Astyanax mexicanus: one gene and its partners. The protein of the gene in region 4 interacts with the protein of the main gene of each other region in a pairwise test. Links are inferred from orthologs where the notes say so. Each region holds a gene or a part of one and is shown on either strand. Other genes may lie near its edges. The genes, in order: bcam, tma16, txndc12 and klhl2.

What was found.
Region 1: the proteins of klhl2 (region 4) and bcam interact in binary tests that used the Homo sapiens proteins (3 or more experiments, as listed by UniProt). The two-hybrid records come from large-scale screens. The link is inferred for Astyanax mexicanus from reciprocal best matches to the Homo sapiens genes KLHL2 and BCAM.
Region 2: the proteins of klhl2 (region 4) and tma16 interact in binary tests that used the Homo sapiens proteins (3 or more experiments, as listed by UniProt). The two-hybrid records come from large-scale screens. The link is inferred for Astyanax mexicanus from reciprocal best matches to the Homo sapiens genes KLHL2 and TMA16.
Region 3: the proteins of klhl2 (region 4) and txndc12 interact in binary tests that used the Homo sapiens proteins (3 or more experiments, as listed by UniProt). The two-hybrid records come from large-scale screens. The link is inferred for Astyanax mexicanus from reciprocal best matches to the Homo sapiens genes KLHL2 and TXNDC12.

The regions. Positions count from the first base shown.
Region 1 is NC_064413.1:3,418,605-3,426,433, forward strand, and holds the start of bcam (basal cell adhesion molecule), read right to left. Parts: upstream 3,298-7,829; 5' UTR 3,162-3,297; coding exon 3,098-3,161; intron 1-3,097. UniProt on the Homo sapiens protein: Transmembrane glycoprotein that functions as both a receptor and an adhesion molecule playing a crucial role in cell adhesion, motility, migration and invasion.
Region 2 is NC_064432.1:9,699,540-9,707,074, reverse strand, and holds the start of tma16 (translation machinery-associated protein 16), read right to left. Parts: upstream 3,078-7,535; 5' UTR 2,960-3,077; coding exon 2,957-2,959; intron 1,851-2,956; coding exon 1,738-1,850; intron 1,333-1,737; coding exon 1,295-1,332; intron 882-1,294; coding exon 797-881; intron 1-796. Other genes in the region: zinc finger protein 239, read right to left, coding at 5,923-7,065. UniProt on the Homo sapiens protein: Involved in the biogenesis of the 60S ribosomal subunit in the nucleus.
Region 3 is NC_064415.1:56,283,595-56,291,643, reverse strand, and holds the start of txndc12 (thioredoxin domain-containing protein 12), read left to right. Parts: upstream 1-4,987; 5' UTR 4,988-5,029; coding exon 5,030-5,126; intron 5,127-6,229; coding exon 6,230-6,290; intron 6,291-6,731; coding exon 6,732-6,784; intron 6,785-7,056; coding exon 7,057-7,130; intron 7,131-7,255; coding exon 7,256-7,325; intron 7,326-8,007; coding exon 8,008-8,049. Other genes in the region: zmp:0000001127 (interleukin-12 subunit alpha), read left to right, coding at 1,217-1,429, 1,543-1,629, 2,240-2,362, 3,162-3,203, 3,306-3,440. UniProt on the Homo sapiens protein: Protein-disulfide reductase of the endoplasmic reticulum that promotes disulfide bond formation in client proteins through its thiol-disulfide oxidase activity.
Region 4 is NC_064432.1:10,037,066-10,044,653, forward strand, and holds the start of klhl2 (kelch-like protein 2), read left to right. Parts: upstream 1-4,318; 5' UTR 4,319-4,607; coding exon 4,608-4,666; intron 4,667-5,037; exon of another isoform or gene 5,038-5,060; intron 5,061-7,588. UniProt on the Homo sapiens protein: Substrate-specific adapter of a BCR (BTB-CUL3-RBX1) E3 ubiquitin ligase complex that mediates the ubiquitination of target proteins, such as NPTXR, WNK1, WNK3 and WNK4, leading most often to their proteasomal degradation.

The DNA of each region.
Region 1 (7,829 bases), on a different chromosome or scaffold from region 4:
TGCATAGAGAGTAGATTGCATAGAGTGTTGAGAGCACTCATAGAAGTGGGTGCGATTGTAATAAGTGAGTGGTTGCAGAGAGGATGGATAACGTGGTGAGTGTGAAATATTGAAAGCAAGAGAGAGAGAGAGAGAGAGAGAGAGAGAGAGAGAAAGAGAAAGAGAGAGAAACTCCTAAACAGCAGGAACAGGTGTGGAGAACATGTGTTGGAGGAGAGTTTGAAGGCAAATTGATGGAAAGCAGCAGATACAATAAAAAAGAGCTGATAGGCAGTGACTCGGTTCTGATACATCAGCTCACAGACGCAGCCTTGTGCTGATCCACATCACCCTTTGGAGTGATGAGGGGAAAGAGCGGCATCTACTGTACCCACCCAGAGAGAGCAAGGCCAATTGTGTTTTCTCAAGGCTCCGGCAGCTGATGGCAAGCTGCATGACTGGGATTCGAACCAGTGATCTCCCAATCATAGTGGCAGGGTGTGGACAGTGCCTTCTATGACATCTATCAGGCCTTGTTCAAACTTTATATCTTCGAAACTCGATAACCTACAAAGCATTAGCATTACTTGCTAACTTGGCATCTTTTCAACCTCACAAGATAGCACCTCACAACTTACGAACACCAAGAGTGGATGTTTCCAAGATGGCCCTTGAGAAAACACGTCATAAAGCTATTTCATTCTATTCTTCATTAATTGCACATTGCACCAGTAAGAGCTGTAAGAGTGTGAAGGTTCAATTATCAGGGTAAGAACACAGTTCTGCTCTAAATATTGCAATGCACACAACATTATGGGTGACATACCAGAGTTCAAAAGAGGACAAATTGTTGGTGCACGTCTTGCTGGAGCATCTGTGACCAAGACAGCGAGTCTTTGTGATGCATCAAGAGCCACGGTATCCAGGGTAATGTCAGCATACCACCAAGAAGAACCAACCACATCCAACAGGATTAACTGTGGACGCTGTAAGAGGAAGCTGTCTGAAAGGGATGTTCGGGTGCTAATCCAGATTGTATCCAAAAAAAACATAAAACCACGGCTGATCAAATCACGATAGGATAATAAATGATTGTGGTCTAAAACCAGGTGTTTCAGTTTCACTGTCCAACCCCTGTATATCATGCAGTACTATATATTTAACAGACAGTAAAGCAGAAAAAAAAGAGGCAGAGGCATAAAAAAGAAGCGCAGTGAGAGAGAGGGAAGGAGGAGCAGGGGGTTCGAAGGGGTATGGGGGGGGGGACGCAGAGGGGAGCGGCCAGGGAGCGAAAACCAAAAAAGAAAGAAAAGACAGATTGCACCAAATTTGAGAGAAATAAGGGTCTTCGTTTTATTATAATTCCAGTGATTCTGAAACTGAGTCTAAATCTAGACTGGGAATAATCTGTAATGGTCACAACTGGAACCACTGGCAGGTCTAGGCTTAATCCAAGGCTTAATCCTGATCCAACGCCAGGATTAATATCAATAACCCTCATCTAACAGCTGCGCTGCTCCAGCTGTTCCTGAGCCCAGTCTGTCCAGGTGCTGCTGATCAGACTGAAGTGTTTGTTTAAAAATGACTGTGTTCTTTAGCACTGCTCAAGTCTGAGTGTCATAAACTGTCTCTCTCTCTCTTTCTGTCTCTCTCTCTTTCTATCTTTCTCTCTCTCTCTCTCCCTCTCTCTATTTCTCTCTCTCTCTCTCTCTCTCTCTCTCTCTCTCTCTCTGATCGGTCCATCAGGCAGTAGAACACCATCAGCAAAACAACACCAACAATAATTCACCAAATTATCTTTCTTTCTATTTTTCTTCATACATCTTCCTCTCTCTCTCTCTTTCTCTTTCTTTACACTCCTTTTTACTCTATTTCGCTACCCCTCTTTCACTTCACACTCTTTTTTTCTCCCCTCTCTCTTTTTTGTTATTTCTCTGCATGTCTTTCTTTCTTCAATCGCTACACCCCTCTTTTCCATACCACTCTACCACTATCTCATTCTCTACACCTCTCTCTCTTCCTCTCTTTTCCCACTCTCATTCTCTACACCTCTTTCTTTCACTGCACCTCTGTTTTTACACCACTCTTTATCTCACTCTCTACACCCCTTTCTCTCTCTCTCTCTCTTGTTTCCTCTCTTCATTCTTTCCCTAATATCATTCTCTACACATCTCTACTCACATTTTCTATACCACTCTTTATCTCATTCTTTACAACTCTTTCTTTCTTTTTCTCTATTTTCTCTTACCCCTCTCTCATTCCTTATATCTCTTTTTCTCTACACCTTTTTGAATCTCTTTCTCTACACCCGCCTCTCTTTTTACACCACTCTTTATATCATTCTCTACACCCCTTTCTCCCTCTATTCTCCTCTTCTCTCTTTCTCTACAGTTCTTTTTTTCTCTCTGTTTCTTTTATCTTTGCACACCTGACTTTTCTGTCTGTCTTTTTCTGCTTTTCCTCGACGTCTCGCTAATTTTCCATCACTTTCTTCTCTTCCTCTGTCCCTTTGTTCACACTTTCTTTCACTTCTCGTTTTTCTTTTTACTGTTTTATATATCTCTCTTCTCGGTGTGGCTCTTGTCCCTCGAGCTTCTCTGAACCTCAAAGAGACGGGCCGCTACAACACACACACACACACACACACAAACACACGCTCGCGCACTGTGCAGTGCAGTGCATGCGCGCACACGCACGCGCTGAACGGAGCCTCCGCGTCTTTGCAGGACAGGGTAAAACGCCACAACACAACCCTCCTGGCATTTAACCCTCCTTAGAATCCTAATCTGGACTAAACCGAATTAAACTCCGCAAGTTTGGGTTGTTCATATTGTTTTAAATCCGTTTTGTGGAAAAAATCCTTCGCCTCGAGCCATTTAAAGCGCGCGCCTGTCTATACAAGCCGTGCGCGCTTCTGTAAGGAACAGGTTGTGGCGCCAAACCAACCAAAATATCCAAAATACCAAACAATCACAGAAAAACACGCTGACTCGATACATTCCCTGTCAGAAACCGGATAAAAGCTTAAAAACTAAGTGTGTGAAGCTCAGAGCGCACGCAGGAGACCGGGGACAGTCTCTTAAAAGAATAAAAAGCCCAGAGAAAGTCCTGCTCTTACCTTCCAGTGACAAAACCAGCACCACCAGCACCACCAGCGCGCTCCTCAGAGTCTCTCCCGCCATCGCTGCTCCTCTACAAACTTCTCCGGCTCTCCTGCTGCTCCGCTGCGGCTCTTCAGTCCGTCTCGCCTCGGTGAGAAGACTCCTCTCAGCCTCACACACCAACACACACACTCCGCACTGCGCGCGCACACACACCCACCAGCGCTGTTTTCTCACCCCCCTCCCTCCCTCCTGTCTGTCTCTCTCTCTACCACTCTCTTTTACTCACTCACCCAATCACTCTCTTTCTACTACCTCTACTGCTCTTTACCTCTCCCTCTCTCTCTCTCTACCACTCTCTCGCTCACTATTTCTACCTCTACTGCTCTTTACCTCTCTCTCTTTCTCTCTCTCTTTCTCTCTCTCTCTCTACCACTCTCTCACTCACTATTTCTACCTCTTTACCTCTCTCTCTCTCTCTCTTTCTACTACCTCTACTGCTCTTTACCTCTCTCTCTTTCTCTCTCTCTCTCTCTCTCTCTCTCTCTCTCTCTCTCTCTCTCTCTCTCTCTCTCTCTCTACCACTCTCTCGCTAACTATTTCTACCTCTACTGCTCTTTACCTCTCTCTCTTTCTCTCTCTCTCTCTCTACCACTCTCTCACTCACTATTTCTACCTCTTTACCTCTCTCTCTCTCTTTCTACCTCTACTGCTCTTTACCTCTCTCTCTTTCTCTCTCTCTCTCTCTCTCTCTCTACCACTCTCTCAGTATTGCCAAAGCATTAATTAATTAAATTATTAATTGAAGAAAATAAAGAATAATAATTGATCAGTTATAACATACATAAACAATTCACATATACATAAATAATTTGATACATTTAAATTAGACATTAATTATCATTGTAATTGATATTTGATATCATTGTATTGATATATATATATATATATATATATATATATATATATATATATATATATACATAGTAAATTACAGTTTTGCCCGAGCATTAATTAACTCTCTCACTCTCATAAACGTTCTATTTTGAGGGCACATCATATTTACACAGTTATAAAACCAGTCAATACAATACAATCTCTTTTTACCTCTAAATTCACTTAAGCTCTATCCGGACAAGATTAATTTCTCAGGGGGTCGTCTGTGAAAAATATTTCACACTTTTACTCAATTGCAATTGAAAAACAGGAGGACCAATGAGTTTTTTTGGCTTTCTCGGTCACATGACATCACGTTCAGTAGCTCCTCCATTTCCACTCGCTGTTGTGTTTACAGTATTAAAACAGTAGACAATTTAGTCTGTAATTTTTTTTATCTCAGAGGACGTCTGAGAAAAACACATATATGGTCGTTCTGGACGGGAATAAAATCACAGAGGACCCTCCAAAAAAAGAGAAAATTACCCCAGAACCCCCTGAGAAACTAATCCCATCCTGATAGGGCTTTACTCTACCTCTATCCTTCTAATGCTTTCTCATTCTCCATCACTTTCTCGCTCTCTGTCTACCTCTACCACTCTCTACCTGTTTCTTAACCACTCTCTCACTCTCTTTCCACCTCTATATTCACTTTTTGGCATTCTTTTCCTCTCACGACTTTTTTTTTCTCTTTCTACCTCCATCACTCTCTTTCTCTACCTCTAGCTAGCTCCAGTCTCTCACTCTCTCTACCACTACATTTATTAGCATGATAATTATTCACATTTGTAATCCCAAAGCTGTATTTAACACTTTTACAAGATAATAGGACAGAAGAAATATAACGAGTAATAGACTGTATGCTGTAAACTGTGTTTAGAGATGGTCCCTCACTTACTTTCTTCCTACACCTCTCTCTCTCTCTCTCTCTTTCTCTCTCTCTCTTTTGGAAATCTGATGAGGGCGGCAGTGGCTTTGGTTGATATATTTACACAAAAGGTGACCCTCCCCCCGGAGCTACGCTACAGTGGTGGAGCAGCATAAACACTCTCTCTAACTATATGAATACACTGTGTATACAGAGCTGAGAAAAAAATTTCTCACCCTGATTTATTCACAGTTTCAGATCTTTAAACCAATTAAACACAACATTTTAGTATGAGTTATTAGACTTATTCACTTATTCGAACAAACACCGAAAATATTTTTTATTTCATTTTTAGCTTGATAATAAATAAAAAGATAATCGAAAAGGTTATGATGGAACTGGCCCTCATCAGGATCACCCAGGGAAAGGAAGAGCAAGAGTTTCTCGGTTGTATAGGATAAGTTCTTCAGAGTTACCGGCCTTTTTTGGTTTGTTTAACACTTTTAATTTACTACATACTTCCTTATGTGGTCCTTTATAGTCTGATAGATCACGCCACTATTTATTTACTATGTAGGAGAAAATTGACAGGTACTGTAAATAAAGTATTAAATAAAGGCACCAAACAGAAAAAGACATCAATATTTAATTGATTAGTAGATCCTGCTTTTGCAGAAATAACAGCATCTAAACTCTTCCTACAGCTTCCAATGAGACTCTGGCTTCTGGTTGAAGGTATTTTGGACCATTCTTCTTTGTAAAACATCTCCAGTTCAGTCAGGTTTGATTCAGGTTTCTGATCATGAACAGCAGCCCGCATTAAATCACACCACAGATTATATTTCAATAATATTCAGGTCTGGGGACTGAGATGATCTGAGATGATCATTCCAGAACGTTGTACTTATTCGTCTGCATGAATACTTTAGTGCTTTAGTAGATGTTGAGCAGTGTTTAGGGTTTAGTGTTTAGGGTCGTTGTCTTGTTGAAAGATCCAGCCCCGGCGCTTTAACTTCAACTTTCTCACTGATTCTTCAACTTTGTTCTCAAGAATCTGCTGATATTGACTGGAATCCATGCAACCCTCAACTTTAACAAGATTCTCAGTACTTGCACTGGTCCCACAGCCTCACAGCATGATGGAATCACCACCAAATTTTACTGTGGGGAGCAGTAAAGTGTTTATCTTGGAACGCTGCGTTCTTTTTCTGCCATGCATAAATAACTGCCCTCCAAATAAACCAAGTTTCAACAGCACCTTATTCCAAAATGAAGCTGGCTTGTTCAAATGTGCTTAAGCATACCTGAAGCGACTCTGTTTGTGGCGTGTGCTCAGAAAAGGCTTCTTCTGCATTACTCTACCATAGAGCCTCTCATTGTGCAAAGAGCATCTGCAGCAAGATGTTGCAAGATGTTTTTATTTGCTTCTACTTGAGTAAGCATTATTTATAAATAAAAGTACTTTTACACCAGTTCTGTTTCTGTCCACTCTACCCACCTCTAAATAATGTTATTACATAACACATAATAAATTCCACTGCCCTTGCAATAATGAAAATGCTCTTTTGCATTATTCAGTTACTTCAAGTAATGACTGCACACTTCCTGTAAGTTATGTGCAGTTGCAGCCTTTGTTGTGAGGTGAGGTTTCTCAGATCCTACAGGGTTCTGGAAATGCTTATCTATTTATCACAGGGCTTTTTTTTGGTTTTCCTCTTCCGTTGGTAAAGTTTCAGACACGCCTCAAGTATAGACTTCTTCCTGTGTAAGATTAAAGAAAAACAATATCTGTATGAGACAATGGCCCTGTCTCAAAACCTGGTGTATTGAAAATAATAATTACAAAACTGATACAAGGATAAGGATAATAAAGTGTGCAGTGATCCTATATGGAAATATATGGATAATGGGTATAGAAACTTATAGATAATCATAATATCATGCTTGATTTGCTGTGTATGCAGTTATGCTAATTTTTATCCCATTTTCTCCCAATTTACACAGCCAATTACCCAAACCCCTATAGGACTCCCTAGTTATTGCCCCAACACACCAGCAGGGTGAAACCCATGTGAAGTCAACCACCGCCTACATGAACAGGATTCGAACCAGCGATCTCCTGATCATAGTGGCATCACCTTGGTGGTCTACTTGACCACTTGGAGTCTCTCCTCTACTGTAACTTAATGCAAATATAAACTATAGCATAATAAAATACAGAAACGGCATTTTACTGTTACATCTGCTTTGTTTCTGGTCCTTTAGTCTGTGCTGAAAACTCAATGAAGGCAGTCTGAGACACTTGAGTCTGAGACTTGGACTGGTAGAACAGGGGCAGTTTTAACAGGAAGTCTTATAAAGTCTTATAAAGACAGGTGGAAGCTGGTGATTGGTTGAGATTGTGACAAGTGACGAGCACTGCAGTTTCCTGCTAGAACTAGCAGTAGGTGAGTCGGTGAATCTGACTCCTCATCTGGTCAATTTTACAGACTCTATTTGCAAATTTGACAATATGGCCGACAGTTATGGCTTTATTTTGTATTTTCGTGTAGGAATGTGATGGAATGGAACCATAGTATTTGTGCTTTTCTATAATTCTATAATTGATTTACAGTAGCAGGAAATTTAACTACTGAAAAAAATTAAGAGTAAAATTTACTTAGAATTTACTTAAAATCTAAGTAAATTTTACTCGTAATTTTTTTCAGTGTAGTTAAATTTCCTGCAACTTTCTACATTTGCTTTTTTAAGTAAGTTTAATTTCAGATAAATTTAAGTAGCTTCAGCTCGGTTTCAAGACTTGAGTAAATATAGAGTAAATAAGTGAACTGAACTTCAGTCAATCCTTTCTTTTATTAAACTTTACTTCATTTATTTTTACTGAATCAATCCTTTCTTTTAGTATCATTTATTTAATTTCTGCATACAATATCACCTCACTACAA
Region 2 (7,535 bases), about 340 kb from region 4:
TTCTCCTGATCTGGTAGTAGAAGGTAGTTAGTTAGAGGTGTTAGGAGAGTAAGTGCTCTTTGAAGAGCTCTGTCTTCAGGAGTTTATTAAAGATAGTGAGAGATTCTCCTGATCTGGTAGTGGAAGATAGTTTGTTCCACCATTGGGGAACTCTGTATGAGAACAGTCTGGTTTGCTTTGTGTGAATGTTTGTTTGGTAAAGCGAGGCGACGTTCATTGGAGGAGCGCAGCGGCCGGGAGGTAGCGTAAGCCTTCAGGAGTGATCAGTGCAGGTAGGAAGGAGCCTGTTCTGTCATCACCTTGTAGGCGATTGTAAGGGCTTCTCAAGATATTAAGGGGATTGTTGGACTTCCCAAATTATCGCAACCAAAGTACTGTATTTTTGCACTTAAAATACTTCAATTTTCCCAAAAATTGTCAGTGCACCTTATGTATAAATTTTACCAGTCAGGTATTAAGGAGCAGTAAAGCCACTCTGTTGAAGTACTGAGTTATACAGGAGTTTCAGTTAAGTTCTCCAGTAGTTTATTAGCATTAGCTGCTAAACGCTAGCCATTTGGCAATTCAGAGGGGAGTATTATTAGCCTGTAGTCTGCTGCTAACCCCGACTAGCTAGCACTGCTGTTGCAACATTAGCAATACCCACTAACTGTGTTAGCCATTTGGCTGTTCAGAGGTAAGTATATCTCACACTGTAGTCTGCGTTTTTACTGTTACCCTGTCTTACCAAAACACTCAGGGTTCCTCGGTGTATCGCTGTCGAATAGCAGTTTGGTGGCATTAGCAGTTAGCTTACCTCTCAATCATTTCACAAGCTTCCTGTTTGGAGTATTCTAGCTTCCCTGAGTCCAGCTGATTCTGGAACCACAAAAGTTTCTCCCCTGAAAAAAAGAACAGAGACAAGATCCTTAACACACTGTGCTCTCTTCTCTCACCTAAACAGTCCATTCAGTCCTCTATTTTTTCTCTTCACTTTAATGTTAAGCTAAGCTAAAGGCTAAAGCTGTTGCCATGTGGGTCAGCCAGACGTGACTCTTCCTGAAGTGTCAGTTTTCTCCAGTTTATAAGAGTCTTTTGAAAGTGTAGGAAACAGTACTCATTCCTCTCTGGCTTCACCTCTAAACTCTCGAAAACACTGAAACTTTTAATAGTTAGAATAATAATAGAATAATACAATAGTAAGAGAGTTCTCTGTGTTTCTTTTCCTGTCTTTCTGTCTTTTTCTAGTTATTATGATGGAAGTGGATAGTGGATAGTGCGAAAAATACGGTAGGTAAATAGAGGAATTACTCACCTATTAAATTTAAACGTCTGGCTTTATCACTTTTCACTCTGCAAAAAAAAAAAAAAAAAAAAAAAAAACAATCAACATATTATTCAAATACTTTTCAAAACAACATTATTATAGATTTCACTCACTGTTCAGCCAAAGTCAGTGCAGTGTTTTTCCCGATAATCTTACAGCACTTCATGCTTCCCTCTGCTGACAACTTTTTTTGGAGATGTGGATTTCATTTTCCAGCAGAACTTGGAACACTGTCCACACTGCCAAAAGTACCATCATTTTTTTTCAGGATGACCTGCTGGTCTTGAGCTGGATTTTTTAAGCAGTGTTATTAAAATGTGCTCCCACTCTAAGCAGGACTATGGAGGTCCATGCCCTGCTCTATAGTTAGAATAATAACATTATCTAAATTAGTGAGGGTAGAAAAAAAAAAAAGAACACAGAGGTCTTACTTCTCTTTGCGGGTGAGTTTGGCCTCAGCTCTGGCCATGTAGGCCGCTTTCCTGCTGTAGGGGTGGACCACCTTCTTCTCCTGCGCGCCCCCCCTCGCCCTCCCTGCTTTAGGCTGAACGCAGAGAGAGAGAGAACACAGCACAGGGGGGTTACACAGCAACAGAGATGGATAGAGCGAGAGAACACATCACATCACAGGGGGGTTATACAGCAGCACAGGTAGATAGAGAGAGAGAACAGCAGAGAGGGGTCATACAGCAGCACAGGTAGATAGAGACAGAGAGAACACAGCACAGAGGGGTTATACAGCAGCAGAGATAAATAGAGAACACAGCACAGGAGGGTTTACAGCTGCAAAGATAGAGAACACAGCATGAGGGTTATACGGCAGCAGAGAGAGAGAACACAGCACAGGGGGTTTATACAGCAACCGAGATGGATAGAGACAGAGAGAACACAGCACATCACAGGGGGTTAAGTTATACAGCAGCAGTGAAAGAGAACACGGCACAGAGGGGTTATACTGCAGCAGAGAGAGAGAGAACACAGCAGCACAGGTAGATAGAGAGAACATAGCAGAGAGGGGTTATACAGCAGCACACGTAGATAGAGAGAGAGAGAGAACACAGCACAGAGGGGTTATACATCAGCACAGGTAGATAGAGAGATAGAGAACACAGCACAGGGGTTATTTTGCAGCAGAGAGAGCGAACACAGCACAGGGGGGTTATACAGCAGCAGAGTGAGAGAACACAGCACAGGGAGTTAGCGTTATAGAGCAGAAAGAACACAGCACAGTGGGGTTATACAGCAGAGAGAGCGAGGACACAGCACAGGGGGTTATACAGCAGCAGAGAGAGAGAACACAGCACAGAGGGGTTATATAGCAGCAGAGAGAGAGAGAGAGAGAGAGAGAGAGAGAGAGAGAGAGAGAGAGAGAGAGAGAGAGAGAACAGAACAGGGGGGTTAACGATATACAGCAGAAGGAGAGAGAACACAGCACAGGGGGTTAAGTTATACAGCAGCACAGGTAGATAGAGAGAGAGAAGACAGCACAGGGGAGGTATACAGCAGAAGAGATAGAAAAAACAGCACAGGGGGGTTAACGTTATACAGCAGAAAGAGAGAGAACACAGCACAGGGGGGTTATACAGCAGCACCAACCTTACAGCAGTGTGTGTTTGTGTGTAAGTGAGTAAATATGTAATGTATACTGACCATATTTCTGCTGCTGCTGGTCGGCGGCGCTGCGCTCCTGGACAAACACGTGTTGAACAGAAACGCGCTTCGGTCCGCCTGTATTTTTGTTCCCCCGCTCACAAACTCAACTATAACCCCACAAACATGGTTCCGCTTCCCGATAGTGAACACTAAACAGATCCTTAGCGCTGAGAGAGGAGCGTTTATATTAACATTGTAATAAATAAATGTATAAATAAATACATATACAAATAAGTAAATGTATAAATAAATACATACACAAATAAGTAAATGTATAAATAAACAGATTAAAAAATAAATTAATAAAATAATTAATAATTAAATGCATGTATATATGAATTAATACATGAATAAGTAAATTAAAAATCGAATTAATCAAAGAGTAAATAACTCGCGGACTATCGGTTATCAGTCATTATTCTGTGAGAGAAAAGGTAGAGGGAGCCCACGAGAGCGAACGGCTAAAAACTCAAATAAACATATTAATAAAGTACTTCTACGATATTCCTTTAATTTTATAAAGTATAATAAAATATTTTACTTAAAGAATAAATTCTATAAATTCTATCCTGCATATTTAATTTTTTTTAGGCAGTAAAGGCGCTGCATTACCGAGATTGATTAAAAACATATTCTGATTTGTAAAACTCTTTTTTTTTTACATAATAATTATGCAAATGTTCCTGTAAAATGTTAATGATTTAAATATATTAAATCAATATATATAAAATTTGCATTGTAAAATTGATTTTGAAATTATAATAAGAAAGAAAACACTGAATGAGAAGAGGTGTTTCAAAACTTTTGACAGGACTATATAAAATCATGTGTGCACAGTGTTTTTATTTTCTCTTTTAAATAATAAAAAATATTCTTCATGTTATTATTATTTTTATTTAATGTTTGCTAGATTTGTACAGATAAATATTCAGACACAATTTTAACAATGTTTGGTAATGACATATGTGACTGTAAGACTAATACGGTCTAATTACTTCAGTAATTGGCCTCCATAATGTTATTTATAGAAATATTATAAAACAGAAACGTTTCAGGATCATGGAGTCAAAGGCACAGCAACTTTCGTACAGTATAAATAGCCTTTTATTGATACACACTGGTACAGTATATGAGTAACTATAGATGAAAAAATGCATTAAATAACCAGATAGCAAAAAAACAAGCAATGACAGATTTCAGATTTTTTTCTATTTTTAAACTTAAGAAACTCTTACATTTAAAAATAGGCTAAAATCTAGACAAACAGGAAATGTTCAATTTGTATTCTGGAAAATATTGATTTGAAAATAAAGTTAAGGAAAGCACCATTTATATAATTTAAATTTATTCTATTTTTACCGTTGCAGATTTACTTATAAATATTTTAAATATTTTCTATTAAAATTACAATAAACATTTAATAATTAAAATGAAGAATAGAGAGACTCATGTAGCTGATGATGACGACAGGATGTAGTAAAGTTCTTTATTCCGTCACTAAACTGCAGTGTGAAACCGAAACTAACCGGATCAAATATACAGAATACTATGAAGCCAATAAATAAATAAAGTAATTAAATTAAGTAAACTGCTATCTCATTATTTTTTAGATAGTTTCTCATTTTTTGAGATACTAAATCATTATTTTGATATACTATCTCATTTTTATGAGATAGTAAGTCACTATTTTGAGGAACCATCTCATTATTTTGAGATACTATCTCATAATTTTGTGATAGTAATTCATTATTTTGAAAGATTTTTTTTTTCAAAAGCAAACACACTTGCTATCTCAAAATAACGACTTATTATGTCTAAATAATGAAATAGTATCAAAATAATGACTAAGTATCTTAAAATAATGACTAAATATCTCAAAATAATGATTTGCTATCTCAAAACAATGACTTAGTATCTCAAAAAATGACTTATCTCAAAAAATGACTTATCTCAAAATAATTACTTGATATCTCAAAATAATGACTTGCTATCTTAAAACAATGACATAGTATCTCAAAATATTGAGATAGTATCCCAAAATAATGACTTGTTTTCTCTAAATAATGACTTGCTATCTCAAAATAATGAGATTGCAGTTTACTTAATAATAAGCAGCTAGAACTCCAGTACTGTGAGTGTATGGAGCAGCTATGGGATAAAACAGCATTAGGTCAAAAGTTTGGACACCCCGGCCCCCCAGTACTGTGTGTAATGGAGCCACTGGTCAAAAGTTTGGACACCCCAGAGCTCCAGTACTGTGTATAATGGAGCCACTGGTCAAAAGTTTGGACACCCCAGAGCTCCAGTACTGTGTGTAATGGAGCCACTGGCCAAATGTTTGGACACCCCGGCCCCCCAGTACTGTGTGTAATAGAGCTACTGGTCAACATTTTGGGGACCCCGGCCAGCACTGCAATCACACTCGCAGTTTCTGTAGGAACTGCAATCTAGTTCAGCCTTTAATTTTCTCAGAGGACGTCTGAGAAAAACACATGCATGAGCACAATCCGAACAGGATTAGTTTCTCAGGGGGTCCTGGGGTAATTTTCTCTTTTATCTTTTATTCCTCTGTGATTTTGTTCCTGTTGGGAACCACCATGTACGTGTTTTTCTTAGACGAAAATTATAGTCCTTGGGTAATTTTAGTCCCATCCGGACGCACATCTCTGAGTTTCGTCTGCTCACGTTTAATAAAATAGTCCACTGCCACGCACCGTAATTACACTTTGGGTGCGCATTTCCACGGAGATCCATGTAAAACACAACAGTGCGTGGAAATGGAGAACACGATGTCACTGTTCCTCCTGTTTTTTCAATAGGAGTCCGGATGCAAGAGTTTTATTACTGAGTAGAAGTGCCCCTAAAAAAACGAATCCCGTCCGGACAGGGCTTAAGATGCTTCGAGAGAAACTAGGCCTTGGTTATTAAAGCTTTTTATTTAGTACCGGAGTACAGCAGAGACGTCAGACTCCTGTTCGATCCTGTCCATCTTTGCTCCCTTTATGAAGGCGCAGATGTTTCTTAAGTGAACCATTCTCTCTAAATGTCTTCCCACAGTCTGAACACTGAAACGGTTTCTCCCCAGAGTGAATACGCTGGTGCACGTTCAGATTTCCTTTGTTAGCGAAAGTCTTCTCACAGACTGGACAGGAATACGGTTTCTCCCCCGTGTGAACGCGCTGGTGTACCGTGAGATGACTCTGTACAGTAAAACTCTTCCCACATTCTGGGCAACAGTACGGTTTCTCTCCAGTGTGAATGCGCTGATGAGCGAGAAGATTGCGTCGGTCAGTAAAACTCTTCCCACACTCTAAACACTGGTGTGGCTTCTCACCGGTGTGAAGACGCTGGTGTTTCTGAAGGCCGCACTTCACAGCAAAGCTTTTCCCGCACTCTGAACAGAGATATGGTTTCTCTCCAGTGTGAATGCGCTGGTGGTTTTGGAAATGGGATTGTTGTTGAAAACTTTTCCCACATTCCGAGCAGTAATACGGTTTCTCCCCGGTGTGAACGCGCTGGTGTATTTGGAAGTGGCCTTGTTGACTGAAACTCTTCCCACAAATTGAGCAATTATATGGTTTCTGTCCAGTGTGAATGCGCTGGTGAACTTGGAGACAGCGCCTGTCCATAAAACTCCTCCCACACTCTGAGCACTGGTGAAGTGGTTCACCTCCAGTGTGAACACGCAGGTGGACCTGGAGCCGACTCTGCTGAGAAAAGCTCCTCCCACATACGAAACAGGAATACGGTTTCTCCCCAGTGTGAACGCGTTGGTGTAGCTGGAGGTGACTCTGTTGAGTAAACCTCTTCCCGCACTCTGAACACTGATACGGTTTCTCTCCAGTGTGAATGCGCTGGTGTCTCTTAAGGTTAGTCTGCACAGAAAAACTGCTTCCACACTCAGAGCACTGATACAGCTTTGTTCTAGAGTGAATAAGCTGGTGTATCTGAAGATCATTACTGTCAGAAAAAAAATTACTGTTTCCACACTCAGCGCTGTAGTGAATTCTATCTTCGCCTGACATTTCCTGCATTACTCTGGGAGATGTGTTGATGTGGGAAGAATCAAATGAAGTTTGCAGAGTATCAGAGCTTTCAGATTCCATATTCTCACATTAATTCTAATTAATTTGAAGAGTTTGAAGCTGATCGTTCCTGCAGAGGAAAAATACATAAAAAATCGGATTTAGTATTATTAAAAAAATACTACAAACATGCTACAGCATTTTTTTGCAGCGAGCGCAAATGTCTTCTCTACAGATATTTTGGGCTAGTTTAAGCTTCTGAAGGACGGGGTTTAGACTGACTTTGGGCTGGATATACTGTTAGACCTGGCAACCCTGCTGACACATGTGATGCTGCTAATGCAGTATTGCAGAGTAGCATTACAGTGCACTCGGAGGAAAGCGCAGTGACTCGGTTCTGATACATCAGCTCACAGATGCCTTGTCCTGATGAACATCACCCTTTAGAGTGACGATTGGAAAGAGCGTCATCTACCCACCCCATGAGAGCAAGACCAATATTGCCCCCCCTTTAGGGCTCCTGCAGCTGATGGCAAGCTGCATGACTGGGA
Region 3 (8,049 bases), on a different chromosome or scaffold from region 4:
TGATTCAGGCTGCTGCTTCACCTTTGATAATTCTTTGGAAATTACAACAATAACCCTTTGTTTACTCTGGTTTCGTCTGTAATGACGGGCTGCTGTTGGGTGGGGAAGTCCCCTGTTGTAAGGAGCTGAAGTGTATATATATACCGAAGAGGACGAATTGTGGCATGAAGAAACTGGAACATTGCTCTCTTTGTAGCCATGCTGACCACTGTGTACCACTGTAAGTAGTAAACTTACACTTTTCTCTATTGTTCATTATCTTTGCATCTGATTGGCTAGGCCATTTTTGCAGCTTCTTGCCTTCTTGCCTGAGTTTTGGGCAGTATTTTCTGGTCTGAGGATCTGAGGGTCTGAGCATCACTTCTAAAACATCTTTGTCTGGCTTGTTAGATTTCTTACATTAACACATTTTTAATGTGGCAATTGTGTTGTTTTTACAATACTGAATAATACTGAAAGGTTAGTTCCGACCCAGCAATGTGATTGAGGTTGATATGCGCTCTGTGAGAGCCATCATCAGCCGGTAATGCACTGTAACCAATGCTCTACATGTATTACTCCACCACATACAGATAACCTAGCAACCATGCAGCGCTTTCAAGTCAAATAGCGCAGCTACAAACGGAGCAGCAATGGAACTATTTTAACTCAGAGTTCTTGATATTGACTTAATTGGCTTAATTTTGAATCAAATAACATTCTACTGTTGAGTTTCATAGTTTTGAGTTTCATAGATTACCAATTGAGTAGGAGAGAATTTTGTCTAGTCACTGTCGGATTGAAGCAGACTTTTAATGGGCTACTCAATCAACCGACAGTAGTGTAGACAAGAATCTAGATTTGCCCAAAGTCAGAGTAGGACCATTTATTCTGGATTATCATTGGATAACAACTAAATTAGGTCAGAATTAATCAGTTCAGTGGTGTATATTCCTGCTGAAACTGGGCTACTGTTGGTTTGGGACAAAATTAAGCCAGACCACTGTCAGGTTTAGAGAGGATGCTCCTGTGCTAAAGTCACGCTGGGACAGATTTACTGTATGTCAAACTACAAGCAAGGAGAACTACAGTCGAGTTATGGCAGAGTTATTACAAGTCAAGCTTTTGGCAGCCTTAGAGGGAATTTTGTGGCCCTGCAGTTGAGTTTTGACAGATTTACTGTAAGTCAGACTACTGCCAGGTTCAAAGAGGATTCTGATGGGCTACAGTAAATCAGATGAAGGTTGGTTCAGAAAAGAGTTTTGTTAGAATAATTTTTTTTTGTGGTTTATTTGCAGACTCCTTCCTTCTGCTCCTGTCTTCCTCAATATGGAGGCTGGGAGCTCCAAATCCTGTGGGATCACAAGCATCACCACTCCAGCTTGATAGAAACACTTGCAAGGGTCTTGCACGCTCTCTGCTTTGGAACGTGACAGAAACACTGGCAGACGTACATGAGGCTCAATTTAAACTCCTTAAATCTATCTAAACCTATTATAAAAATTGTTTGATTGAATGATGGAAAACCAATAAATTAAATGCTCTACTGTTGTCTCTGCGTAGGACCAACTGTTCAGGGGACTGAACTGCACAGACCAGAGTGCCGAGCTGCATAACAGGACCCAGACGGTAGCAGTGTGCATTCCACAGGTGAGAGGAGTAGAGAGGTTCTGTACTAAATTAAGTCAGGGTGGTTTAAGAACTGAATATATACAAAGATATGGATAGATAATGGGGTTCCAAGAGGGGATTGGTAGTTTTCTGCCTTATATTTGGGCAGTGCAACATTTATAATTAAAATACAGCTATCAGTGTGTAGTCTTTCCCCACAGACTCATCCTCCCTTATAAAGTTTTTTAATTTATATTATATTGCACTTGCCTGGCCTAGTTTTTCACACCTATAATAGCATGTTAGAACTCAAAAGCTGTTTAGCGTGACTGTTGGCTGAATGCTACAAAGACCACTCATGTCTTGTGAATTGTTAATTGTTAAGTCACTTATGCAAAAATATGATATTATTTAACGTAATCAATTTAAATTAAGTGTAGATGAATATACTAGATGAAGTACACTCAAGAAACTAAACAAAAACAAAATACCTTCCATTCTCTATTCAACAGCATTCAAAATGCTCAGAGGGCCAAGACTACACTTTCAATCAGGTACACTGTTTAAGTCTGATATAAATAAATAAATTACAGGTTTTCTTGACATTGCTTTTGCCATCATGCCTTGACACCCTGTTTATCTGCTGTAGGATGCATGCCTCCACAGTGTTCTGGAAGATCTCAAGCAGTTCCGAGCAACGTTTAAAGCCTACAGCGATCAAGGATATGTCCTCAAACAGACGGTGCTTAGCAGCATTGATGACCTCATGCAGGTAAGGATTGGACAGTTTGCACTGATTGGTTATTTTATTATCTAGCATACCACAAACAGTAGGTGCACTTTTAGCTTTTGTATGAGCTTATATACTTATATACGTCTTCTAGCACACATTTTGCAACCATCATGCTACCACAAAATCTGAATGGTCCAATAAAATATGCAGTGTAGAGTAGGTTAAATAAGCATTAATACACTCGAGGTTCGTGCTATAATGTGTAGTACTGTTACATATTAATACATGTTATAGCACAAACCTTGAGTGTATTATTGTGATTATACCACAGCTCCATTATCACTGTTTATTGAAAGATTTTAAAGATTTAAAGAGGAGGAAATAGGATCTGTTTGGTTATAAACACTCCGCCAGTTAAAATAGTTCCATTGCTGCTCTGTTTGTAGCTGTGCTGTTTGGCTTGTAAGCGCTGCATCATTGCTTGGTTACCTGTATTTGGGGGAGTAATATATGGAGCGCTTCAGTCACAGTGCATTACCGGTTGATAGCGGCACTATTAGAACACCTCTCAGCCAATCACATTGCAGGGTCGGAACTAACTGTGGTATAATAAATCATAATTAACACAGAGTCAGTAGACTAGACCAGAGACCAGTAGACTAGACCAGTCCAAAAGCAATAACTTCAAGTCAGTCACTCCAGGATCAGAAATAGGTATTCTTCCTTAAGGAACTCTGGTTTAAAGAACCATTTGTAGCATATTTTTAGGAGTTTACTCCAATAAAGCTAGCAGTAACACTAAATATACTAATCTTCATTCTTTGTTTTGTACAAACAGAACTGCTTCTCTGCCACACAACTGGACAGCTCTCAAACACTGGTAAGAATAATTTGAGACTTGTTTATTCAAACATTACCAAATGAACGATTTATATTCTTTAGTTTCAGTCATTCATCACAGATGTTCTGCTGTTGCTCACAGGTTTCCATGGAACATGAAAAATCCTTCAAGGGAAGACTGAAGCTCTGCAAAGTTTTGAAGGCCTTCCATATTCGTGTTATCACCATCAACCGAGTGGTGAACCATATCCTGACTTTGGACGCAGGAGCCAATTAATAATCACAAAGTTATAATTGATATGTGATATTCAGGCAAACAAAAAAAAAAATATGTTTTTGTCATTTTGACAAGCACAAGTTAGCCTCATTGTTTTAGGCTTTATGATATGCAGTACTGGTAGTGATAGTATTTAAAACTCTTATTTATTTATCATATTTATTTATAAATTATTTAACATTCTATATAATGTATTGTTAAATACAACTGTTTAAAGTTTAGAAATGTTTAAAATGGACTGCTGTACTGCTTTAATACCAAGTGCTGAGAGTTTACCAAGTGTTTTGTCTTCGAAACAATAAAACCTGCTCAATGCAAAATTACATAATTGAGATTAGTGATGATTACAGTTTTAATACTGTTTCAGTTCAATCCTGAAACAAGATGCATATATCTACCAGTGATATTGATCATTTTTTTGGGTGTGCATAAGATAGAGGAGAGAAATGAGAGAGAAATAAGAGAGAGATAAAGAGAGGAGAGAGAGAGAGAGAGAGAGAGAGAGAGAGAGAGAGAGAGAGAGAGAGAGAGAGAGAGAGAGAGAGAGACAGAGGATGTGAGTTCAGCACCCTGGAGAGCGACTGACGGTCCTGGAACAGTGATATCTTCCTTTTTAGAGAATTTAATTTCAGTCCATCTTTGAAAAGTAAATTACATTTATTAGGTTTATTTAAAAAACTTTTTATATAAAAAATATATATATATTTTAGCTTTATTTTTTATTTTAGTTTTAGTATTTACCCAAATTTGTAGCCTCTGACAGCATCTTTCATGTACACAACTAGTAATTTCTCAGTACTAGCAAAAACAAAAAGCCAAATGATTAGAGCGTTATTTTTTTTTTTTTCATCAGTTTTGTTCAGTCTTTGGTTATTTATCTTTGGTTATTTATATATGTTAGTTAAATGTTTTATGTTTAACATCTACAAATAATGATTTCATTTCAGTTTTAGTTTGACCAACTAGTCTAACTTCCCTTTTCTGCTGACAATCTGCACTGCTATTACTGAAGTGAAATCAGTGCAGGTAGGAAGTAAAAGTAATTATTAAATACTAACACAGTATATATATATATGTAAATATCTTGATATTTTTATAAAAACAGAAAAAAATAAATGCCTAAATTAATTTACTTTGACTCAAATTATACAAAATATTATTTTTTTAGCATGATGTCACCTTGCTGCATATCTTTTCAATTTCTTAATTGATTGATATAAACGGTTGCTAATGACTGATTGTGATTTGGATATTTTAGTGTCTGGAAAAAACGGGAGTAAATATAATATAATTATAATTCCATGTTGTTTCAGGGTTGTCAATGACCATTTGGTCATATAGTTAGCTATTGTATCTGATTAGAAATAAAAAATAAAAGAGGTACAGACCTGTCAGTAGACGTTTAGGAGAATGTGGGAGTTTGTTGGGGGTTGTGGGAGTTTGTTGGCGGTTGTGGGAGTTTGGTGGGAATGCGCAGATGTTCCTCATGAACCCATGAACTCCTGGACTCCGTCCCCCTCAGGCAGCTGCTGGATCCGCCGCAGTGGCTCCCTCTCTCTCTCTGTCTGCGTTAAGGCCTGAGTGAAACCATGCAGTCCTCTGTTCTCAGCGTCGCTTTGCTCTCGTTTCTACCATTTTTCATCGCCACGCATTTTAAAGGAGTTTCTGCTGACGGGAGCGGGAAAGGTAAGGCTAAGTCTGCGGGGAAAACACGTAGTTAAATACGGCTGTTTGGCTTTAGCCTGTTGGCTAACCGTCAGTTTGAGGCAGCGGTAGAGAATCCAGGTCCGTGAAATTTAAAAAATACGCTCCGGGATTTTATTCCAACTGCATAGACGGTTCTGCTGCAGTTGAACCGCCTGTGCAGTTGGAATAAAATCCTGGAGCGTCTTTTTTTAATTTACGGACCCGGATTCGTTACCATGAATTGAAACTGTATGTACAGCGATTTCAGTTTTAGTGCAAGATGTATTTGAACATCAATTAACATATCGTAGCGTAAATGAGCTAAGTAACCATTAAAACGGCTTTTTTTAAGTTTTATACGCTGTTGGGCGAAAAGGTTTTTTAGCGTTGGGAAACAGCGAGTAAAAAGAGAGCTAACCTAGCTAGCTAACCAACGCTAGCTATGCTTATTATTAAACTTATTTAAATAACTTAGCTAGCTAGGTTAATCTAGCTGTTTTTAAATAGAGAGCTATATATAAGTAAGTTATACACCACGGGCTAATTTTAATGTGTGTAGTTAGCTATGGTAACGTTAGTTTATCTTATCAGGTTTAGCTAAGCTAAGCTAGCTAGCTTAACTGTATGATTAAACATATTTAATAAACAAGCTAGGTTGGTTAGCTGTTGTTAAATAGATTAATGGCTATAAGCACACACCACATGTTCATTTTAATTTGTGTAGCTATGGTAGTTTAAGTTAAATAACTTAGCTAGCCAGCTAGCTTCTCATTGAGGCTTTTGCTAAGGTAGCTAGCTAGCTAAGCTAACTTTATTATTAAACCTATTTAATAAGCTCGCTAGATTAACTTAGTTAACTGATTTTAAATAGAGCTATAGCTATAAGTATACACCACGTGTTTATTTTAATTTGTGTAGCTATTCTAGTGGTTCTAACTTAGCTAACTGGCTAGTTAACTTCTCATTGAGGTCTTAGCTCAGGTACCTAGCTAACTAGCTAAGCTAACCTAGGTTAGCTAAGTGGCTAAGGTAGGTCTTTGTTTCTGCTTCAGACTGTTCCTGATTTTTAATCTTTCTGCACTTTAACTCGTCATTTTCTTTAGGATTTGGAGACCACATCCACTGGAGAGGTCTGGAGGATGGAAAGAAAGAGGCTGAGGCAAGGTAGGATCATGTGAAATTGTAGTTTAATCATAGCTAGGTTAGGTAACAAGCTACTTATTTACTTCCTTATAGCTGCTTATTCAAGTAGACTTCAGATGGGTCCATGCTGCTCCATAGTGATGTGTATGTATTGTGTTAAATACAGTGGTGGAAAGTAGGTCTGCATCTTATGACTATTTTAGTAGTTGACTAATGCTATCCATACACTAGATGACTACAAAAAACTCTGAAATACTTTTAATAGACTAAAACATCTAAAGACAAATCACAGACTTTTTAGTCATAGACTAAGATTTTGCAAAGACTGGGGATCTTTTAGGGTCACTATTTGCAAGACTGCAACTAGATTCTTCCTGAGATTATGTTATCGATTTTTATTATTGTTGTTATAAATGAGAAGACTTAAACTAACTGGATTTTTATCATTTCATCTCTTCACAGTGGCTTGCCTGTTATGGTCATCATCCACAAGACCTGGTGCGGTGCTTGTAAAGGTAGGTCAATATTTAATCCATGTGGTGTTACTCACGAACAGATTTTGTTGAGCAGTGTTTCTCAGCCCTGACCCTGCTCATTTTATTGTTTACCCTGCTTCCAATACATCTGTTTAGACAAATTAACATGCTGTTCCTGAGTTGAATGTTTAACAGAATGTTGGAACCTGCTGTTGTAACATCATTACTGGTCTGAAAAACACAAAGCATGTAATGATTTTGATGTGATTTAGCTGAAAAGTTAATAATGTAATTTTAACTTTGTCTTTAAGCGCTGAAACCCAAGTTTGCTGAATCTAAGGAAATCTCAGAACTGGCTCACAACTTTGTCATGGTTAACCTGGAGGTAAGAGCTTAAGGCACTGTTCACCTCTTTTAATGAATGTAGAAAACATGGACAGTGCAAATGTATCACAAAAGTGAAGTAGTAGACTGCTAGTTTTATATGGATCTGTACTTTTTTATCTAAAGGATGAAGAGGAGCCCAAAGATGATGCTTTCAGCCCAGATGGAGGTTACATTCCCAGGATACTGTTTCTAGGTAAAACACTAGTTTACATGTGGGAGACGGGTTCAATTCCTGGTCTGGGTGACTATGCTGTGCTAGACCAATAAGAATCCATGGGCAAGACTCCTAACACTACATTGGCCCACCTTTGTAATAGGAATAACCTTGTAAGTCACTCTGGATAAGAGCATCAGTAAATGCTTCCCTGAACAGTAGACAATTACTCCAAATAAACTTTCTTTTTAAATACCCTTGATTTCATATTATGTTTATTTGGCAACAAGAAATGGTTCTAAATCTAGATTTTCAGTAATTAAAGTTAAAATATTTTTTGTTTATTTATAATTTTAATCATTTGAACTATGGACTGTCATGTACAGTTTGTTATTCTGAAAAAAGTTTAGCTATTTTTATATGACTGAATTTTAATCAGTTTATTTATTTGGAGCTTATTGTTTGTAATTACATTCCAGTCCATAAAGATGAAAATGTGTAAAGGTCTAAAAAATAAATAAAATTAACTGCATTAACAAATTGAGGGTTCTTCAATAAAAAGGTCACTAACCACTTCTTATTTCACTGGTTTGACTGTGGGCTTAAGTAAATTGAGACAGGCTGCTACACTATAATGTAATTTAGGACAATATCTTGCACTATTGCAGGGTGAAGGCTGGAGTTATGAGTGGTGAAGTAATGATCATTTATTCTCTTGTAGATCCCAGCGGTAAAGTCCACCCTGAGATCACAAACAAGAACG
Region 4 (7,588 bases):
ACGTGTACATATGGGTTCTATTTTGTTTAAGATTTCAGAAAGAGAGAGAGAGAGAGAAATATATACTGTTTGAAAGTAACATTCAGCTGCTGTGAGTTTGAATGACTGACCAAGAATAAATACTGTAGCAACGGAACGAATCCCTTGTCTCGCCTTGTTTTTGATTTGTTCTGCTTCAAACAAACTTCCTAGGGGTGGTCCTGATGAGTGCCAGTTTCACCATTCAACGTTTTAGATGGTCTTTGGGGTGACTGCACTTGAAGTTCTTGAATTTGGTAAAAGAGTGTATAAAGAGTGTGTAAAAGAAACACACAGCATTTCTTTATATACCGTTCTTAAAAAATACAGAGATTTTACCAGTTTTTACTGTATATAAAAACGTGACATTTACACAAAAACACACAACAAAGCTTTATTTTTCTATTTCAAACAAAATTCCTGGGGTGGTCCTGATGAGTGCCCACATCATCCCACACTTTTGATGGTCTTTTGCGGTGACTGCCCTTGGCTGCCTATGGTAAGAGAGTGGAGTTTACACAAAAACACACAACACAATTTTTTTTATACAGTTTTCAGAAAATACAGAGATTTTACCAGGTTTTACTGTGTAAAAGAGTGGAATTTACACAAAAACTCAACACAAAATATATATATATTTTTTTTTTCAAATTTTGTTTTTCACAGTTTTTCACTTTTTTTTCCTGCTGAAAACAAAATTGCTGGGATGGATCCTGATGAGTGCCAGTTTCACCATTCAACGTTTTTGATGGTCTTTGGGGTGACTGCACTTAAGGATACTTTTTAAAGTTTTTGAATATGGTAAAAGAGTGGAGTTAACACAAAAACACAACACAAAATAAAAAAAATAAAAAAAGTTATTTTTATTTTTTTTTAGTGATTTTTATACAGTTTTAAAAAAAATAGAGATTTTACCAGGTTTTAATTTTATATAAAAGAGTGGAGTTCACACAAAACAACGCAACACAACACAAAATTTGAGAAAATCACTACTTTTTTTTCCACTGTTTTTTTTTACAGGGTTGTCCTGTTGAGTGCCAGTTTCACCATTCAACGTTTTTTTGATGATCTAGGCAGTGACTGCACTTGAGGATACTTTTCAAAGTTTTTGAATATTTAATTATTCATGTTTTTATTTTCAGATTACACACGATATATCGAGGGAAACAGTTACTTTGCAGTAATTGTCCTTTATTAGGTATATTTTGCAATATAGAAAAATATAGTGATTTTACCAGGTTTTACTGTGTATAAAAGAGTGGAATTTACACAAAAACACAAAAAATATATATATATATTTTTTTCACAAACAAACTGATGAGTGCCAGTTTCAGCATTCAATGTTTTTTGATGGTCTTTGCAGTGACTGCTCTTGAGAATACTTTTCAAAGTTATTTATTTATTTATTTATTTCAGATTGACTGACCTTCATTTCTTAAAGTCATTTTTTCTTTACTTAGTTGACTACGCTTGGCCATAATTGATTATACACGAGAGGAAGTGTCTTAACGTGTAACATTGGAATAATTAAGCGCCATTATCAGCCGGTAATGCACTGTAAGTGAAGCTCTCCATGTTTCCACAATATCGCAATGTAATTGTTACCCTGCAATGTAATTGGCTGAGAGGTGTTCTACGAGTGCCGTTGTCAGCCAGTAAAGCACTGTAACTGAAGCACTCCACGCATTACTCCTCTGCATACAGGTAACCTAGCAACGATGCAGGGGTTACACGCCAAACAGCGCAGCTACAAACAGAGCAGAAATGGCACAGCAGTGACAATATTACACATTATAGCACGAACATCAAGTGTATTATTGCGATTATACCACAGTTCCATTATCACTGTTTATTGCTGATAACGACACTCATAAATTTCCTTAAATTTTCTATGGGATTAATAATAAAGTATCTATCTATCTATCTATCTATCTATCTATCTATCTATCTATCTATCTATCTATCTATCTAATTAATCACATTGCAGGGTAACAATTACATTGCAATTATTGTCCTTTATTGGATATATATTGCGATATACAAAAAAAAAATGCAGAAATTTTACTAGGCGTCACTGTGTAAAAAAAAAAAAAAGAGTTTACTCCATTAAGAATTTACCCACAAAAACACAACACAACAATATATATGTATTGCAATATCAAAAAATACAGAAATATTTTACCAGTGGAATTTACACAAACACGTGACACAAACGATAATGCTCATCATTCTTAAAAAGGAGGAGAAAATATGATCTGTTTGGTTATAAAAACTCAACGAGTTAAAATAGTTCCATTGCTGCTCTGTTTGTAGCTGCGCTGTTTGGCTTGTAAGCGCTGCATCGTTGCTAGGTTACCGGTATGTGGCGGAGTAAAACATAGACAGCTTCGGTTACAGTGCATTACCAGCTGATAATGGCACTCATAGAACGCCTCTCAGCCAATCAGATTGTAGGGTCGGAACTAACTGTGGTAATAATATAGATTAGAACATTACTCAAATATGGCTATTTACTGTATACCACCAACTCTACTTTGCTACTTTGAAGAATGTGAAATATAAAACATATTTTCGTTTGTTTAACACTTTTTTGTTTATTAAATAATTCCATATATTTTTCTTAATAGTTTTTATGACTTAAGTATGAATCTACACTGCAGAATTAAAAAATAAAATAAGAACTTCAATATGGATTCAAATATGCTGCAGATGCAGCAACACCACAGACGACCACTAGAGGTCAGTGTTTCTACAACTTACAGAAAAATGTATTTTTCTTTTTTTTTTACGTGTATTAAAACCGAATAAACCAAATAATGTTTAGATAAAAAAAAAAAAAACATCTGTTCCACTGTACGAAAAAACAGCTCTGGAGAAAAAAAAGACCACTTAATAATTATGAGTTTCTTTGTTTTTACCAAATTGAAAACTTCTGGAATATAATCAAGAGGAAGATGGAGGATCAAAAGCTATTCATCAAACCAAACTGCTTGAATTTTTGCACCAGGAGTAAAGGCACAAATCCATCCAAAAGCAGTGTGTAAGACTGGTGGAGGAGAACATGATGCCAAGATGCATGAAAACTGTGCATAAAAAACAGGGTTATTCCACCAAATATTGATTTATGAACTCTTAAAACTTTATGAATATGAACTTTTTTCTTTGCATTATTTAAGGTCTGAAAGATCTGAATCTTTTTTGTTATTTCAGCCATTTCTCATTTGGTAGAATTTGGTAGAAATGTTATCCATAGTTTATAGAATAAAATAACAATGTTCAATTAACTCAAACATAAACCTCTAAAAATCAGAGAAACTGATTCAGAAACTGAAGTGCTCTCTTCATTTCTACCACAGCTGTATATTTGTGATATCAAAATATACAGAATAAAAACATTTTATTAAACAAAGTTTTTCACTTACTGACGTAATGTGAATCTTTACATTGTTGTTCCTTACAGTGTATCCAAATCTCGTAGTGGATAAACTAATGGAAACGTTATAATGACTTAACGCTAATGCTAATATGTTAGCTTAGCCAGCTACGTTAGGTAGCCAAGTTATAGGTAAGGTGAAGTGGAGGTGGAATAACACACGACACAAAAAAAAAATTAAAAAGACACAGAATATTGCACGGGAAATAGCAAATTAACTAAATACGATAAGAATAAAAAATACAAATAATATGAAATAATGTGAAATATGTCACTATATTGCTGCTACAAATCGTGTCTTCCAAAATCCAAATAGTGGATAAACTAATTGAAATGTTATAACGACTAATATGCTGATGCTAATAAGTTAGCTTACAAGACACAGTACATTAAAAAGACACAGAAAATGGCACAGAAAATATCAAATAAGATAAAATTAAAACAAAAGAATGCCATGCGATCGGTCATTTCTTATAGGGGACACAATTTGTTTAATTAATTTTTACATGATAATAAATTGTATAAATGTGACACACGAGATTTGTAACCATATTCGACTTAAAAACTTTGTTAAAAAAAAAAAAAAAAGGAAATTAAGTAAAGCTGCCTAAATTTGACCAGTACATGTTCTGAATATATGTTAAATATATGTGTTCCATAGATCCAGAGTTGAAAAAAAGATTTTTAAAAAAATTAACTTTAATTTGGAAATTTAATTTGGTGGAATGGGCCATATATTTTTGATATATATATATATATATATATATATGTATGTTTTTTTTTATGCTGAAGGTCCTCCCTGACTGTGGGGGAGCTGTGGTGCGGGTCTGCTGGTGGGTAAAAGCAGTGTGTGTGTGTGTGTGTGTGTGTGTGTGTGTGTGTGTGTATATGAGTGTGTGTATGTAAATTAGTGTGTGTGAGAGTGTGTGCTGGAGGTTCCGTGTTTTCTCCCCCTGAGCTGCTCTGAGGGGGTTTATAGAGGTGAATACAGGACTCAGTGAGTGAGTGAGAGGCTGGGTGAGTGAGAGCGGGGGGCCGGGAGTTTACCGCGGGCTCTGCGGGGACATGGCTGCTGCTGTCCGGCTGCACTAGCGGCGCCTCTCCCGGGGAGCCGCTGCGGACTGAACCGAGCGGAGCTGAGGATGGAGCGGAGCTGATGGTGTCCGGAGCCGCGGCCTGCCCCAACACCCCCACCGCCATGGAGATACAGCCCCTGTAAGAGCTCCCATATACACACACACACACATATATATATATATATATATATATATATATATATATATATATATATACACACACAAACATGTACATGGAGATACAGCTCCTGTAAGAGCTACCATATACACACATATATACACACACACACATATATATATATATATATATATATATATATATATATATATATATATATATATATATATATACACACACACACAAACACATACATGGAGATATAGCCCCTGTAAGAGCTCCTATACATATTTACACACGTATAAATACACACATATACATGGAGATACAGCTCCTGTAAGAGTTCCCATATACACACATATATACATGTATACACACATATAAATACACACATATACGTGGAGATACAGCCCCTGTAAGAGCTCCTATACATATATACACACACATATATATGGAGCTACAGCCCCTGTAAGACCTACTTTACACATATATACTAACACACATTTGTACACACACACATTATTTATATTAATATATAATAGTGTGTATATGTATATGTGTATATATATGTAACTCACATGTAAAGACACACACACACACACATATATACACACACACACTGTCTGTCTGTGTCTGACTGTCTGCTGGTTGTCATGGTCAACATGTTCACGTGGGTGTCACATGCTAGAACTTTGGCTATTTGGATTCTAGGTAGGTTCCAGGTAGGTATAGGCTCTAAGACCTGGGATTGGGACCATCATTACTACAGTCCACCTTAATCTGACATACTTAAGTATTAGACACCCCAGCCATCAGGCTCATGTGGGTGTCACATGGCTAGAACATGGGCTAGATGGGTTCCAGTTGGGTTCCAAGTGGTAATAGGCTCTAAAGACTGGGACCATCATTACTAGGTCTCATCTTAGTATTGAGCATCCCAACAAACCTGTTCATGTGGGTGTCACATAGCTAGAACATGGGCTAGGTGTGTTTCAGATGGGTTCCAGGTACATCCAGGTGGGTATGGGCTCTAAGACTTGGGGCTGGGACCATCATTACTACAGTTCACCTTATTCTGACATGGGTCCCATCTTAGTTTTGGTGATCCCAGCCAACAGGCTTGTGTGGGTGACACATGCTGCAACATTGACTATGTGGGTTCCAGGTAGATCCAGGTGGGCGTGAGTTTTAGATACATGGACTGGAACCAGGTGGGCTTTCCAAATGGCCACATCAACACCACAGACCATATGGGTGTCACATTGTCTGGAACATGGTATAAGTGGGTTCCACACCCAGGTGCGTATAGGCTCTAAGTACTGGGACTGACAAGGGTTCTATTATAGGATTTGACATAGTAACCAACAGACACATGTGGGTTCCAGGTGGTTATAAGCTCTAAGAACTGGGACTAACATAGATCCCATCTTAGTTTTGCACATTCCAGCCAATAGTCATATGGTCGTCACAAAGCTAGAACATGGGCTGGGTGTGTTCCAGGTGGTTATAGGCTCTAATTACTGAAACCACCATCCCCAAGTCCTATTTTAGTATTGGACAATCCAGCCAACAGGCTCTTATGCTTCCAAGGGTAGAACATGGGCTAGCTAGGTGGGTTTTAGATGGGTTCCAGGTGGGCATAGGCTCAAGTACTGGGTCTAGGAGTGGCACTATCATAACTACAGCACCCCTTAATCGCACATAGGTCCCATATTAGTGTTGGAAATTCCACCAATCGTGCTTTTCAAATGTGCTTAATCAATACCACTGACCACCTTAATCTCACATGGGTTCCAAATTATTATTGAGCATCTCAGCCAACAGGCTCATAAGGGAGTCGCATAGCTAGAACATGGGCTAGGTAGTTTCCAGGTGGTTATGGGCTCCAAGTACTGGGACTAGAACCAAGTTGGCCTAATCTCACATGGCTCACATTTTAGTATTGGACATCCCAGCCAACAGGCTCATAAGGGAGTCACATAGCTAGAACATGAACTAGGTGGGTTCCTGGTGGGTTCCAGGTGGTTATGGGTTCCAAGCACTGGGACTGACTTAGGTCCCATCTTAGTTTTAGACATTGAAGCCAATAGTCTCATGTGGGTTAGATCATGGGTTTGGGTGGGTTCCAGGTGGATGTAGGCTCTAAGTACTTAAACACCCATTACTAGGTCCTATCGTATCATTGGAAATCCCGGCCACATGGCTAGAACATGACTTAGGTGGGTTCCAGGTGGTTATAGGCTCTAAGTTCTGTGACCATCCCTACTAGGTCCCATCTTTCGTATTGGACATCACAGCCAAAACATCCCTGTGCTACCAAAGATAGGACATTGGCTAGCTAGGTGGGTTTCAGGTGGGTTTCAGGTGGTCATGGGCTTAAAGTAATGGGTCTAGAACACAGATGTGGTAGTTACTGAACTGAGGTCAGTAGGAAGACCTCACTAAGACTAAGACAGATGTGTTTATCTAGCTGACTGGCCTGTGCTGCTGGGCTTGCTGGTTGTGTCATCCTGACAGATGTTCAGTGTTCGTCATGTCGGTGCTCTCAGGGCAGCAGATCAGACCAGATGTCTGTGTCACCATATATAAACACATATATAAACACACAGCGTCTGTCAGACTGCTGATCCTCAGATGCTCTCAGAACAGGGCTGTGTGATATAGCTAAAAACTATTATACATCACAATATATATTTCTTAATTACAGTCGATATGGTATAATTCTGATGCCAATATTAACAGTATAAAAGCCGTCGACTGTGGTTTACATAATCACACACACCCACACGGATAGAGCTAGGCGATATGGTGAAAAATATTATATCACTATATTTAATTATATTTTGTAACTACTCTAGGGGTGAACAAAATGGCCCTAAAATAATATTGCGGTATTTCAGGGTATTTTTAAAAATGATAAGTGTTACAAAAAAATCAACAAAA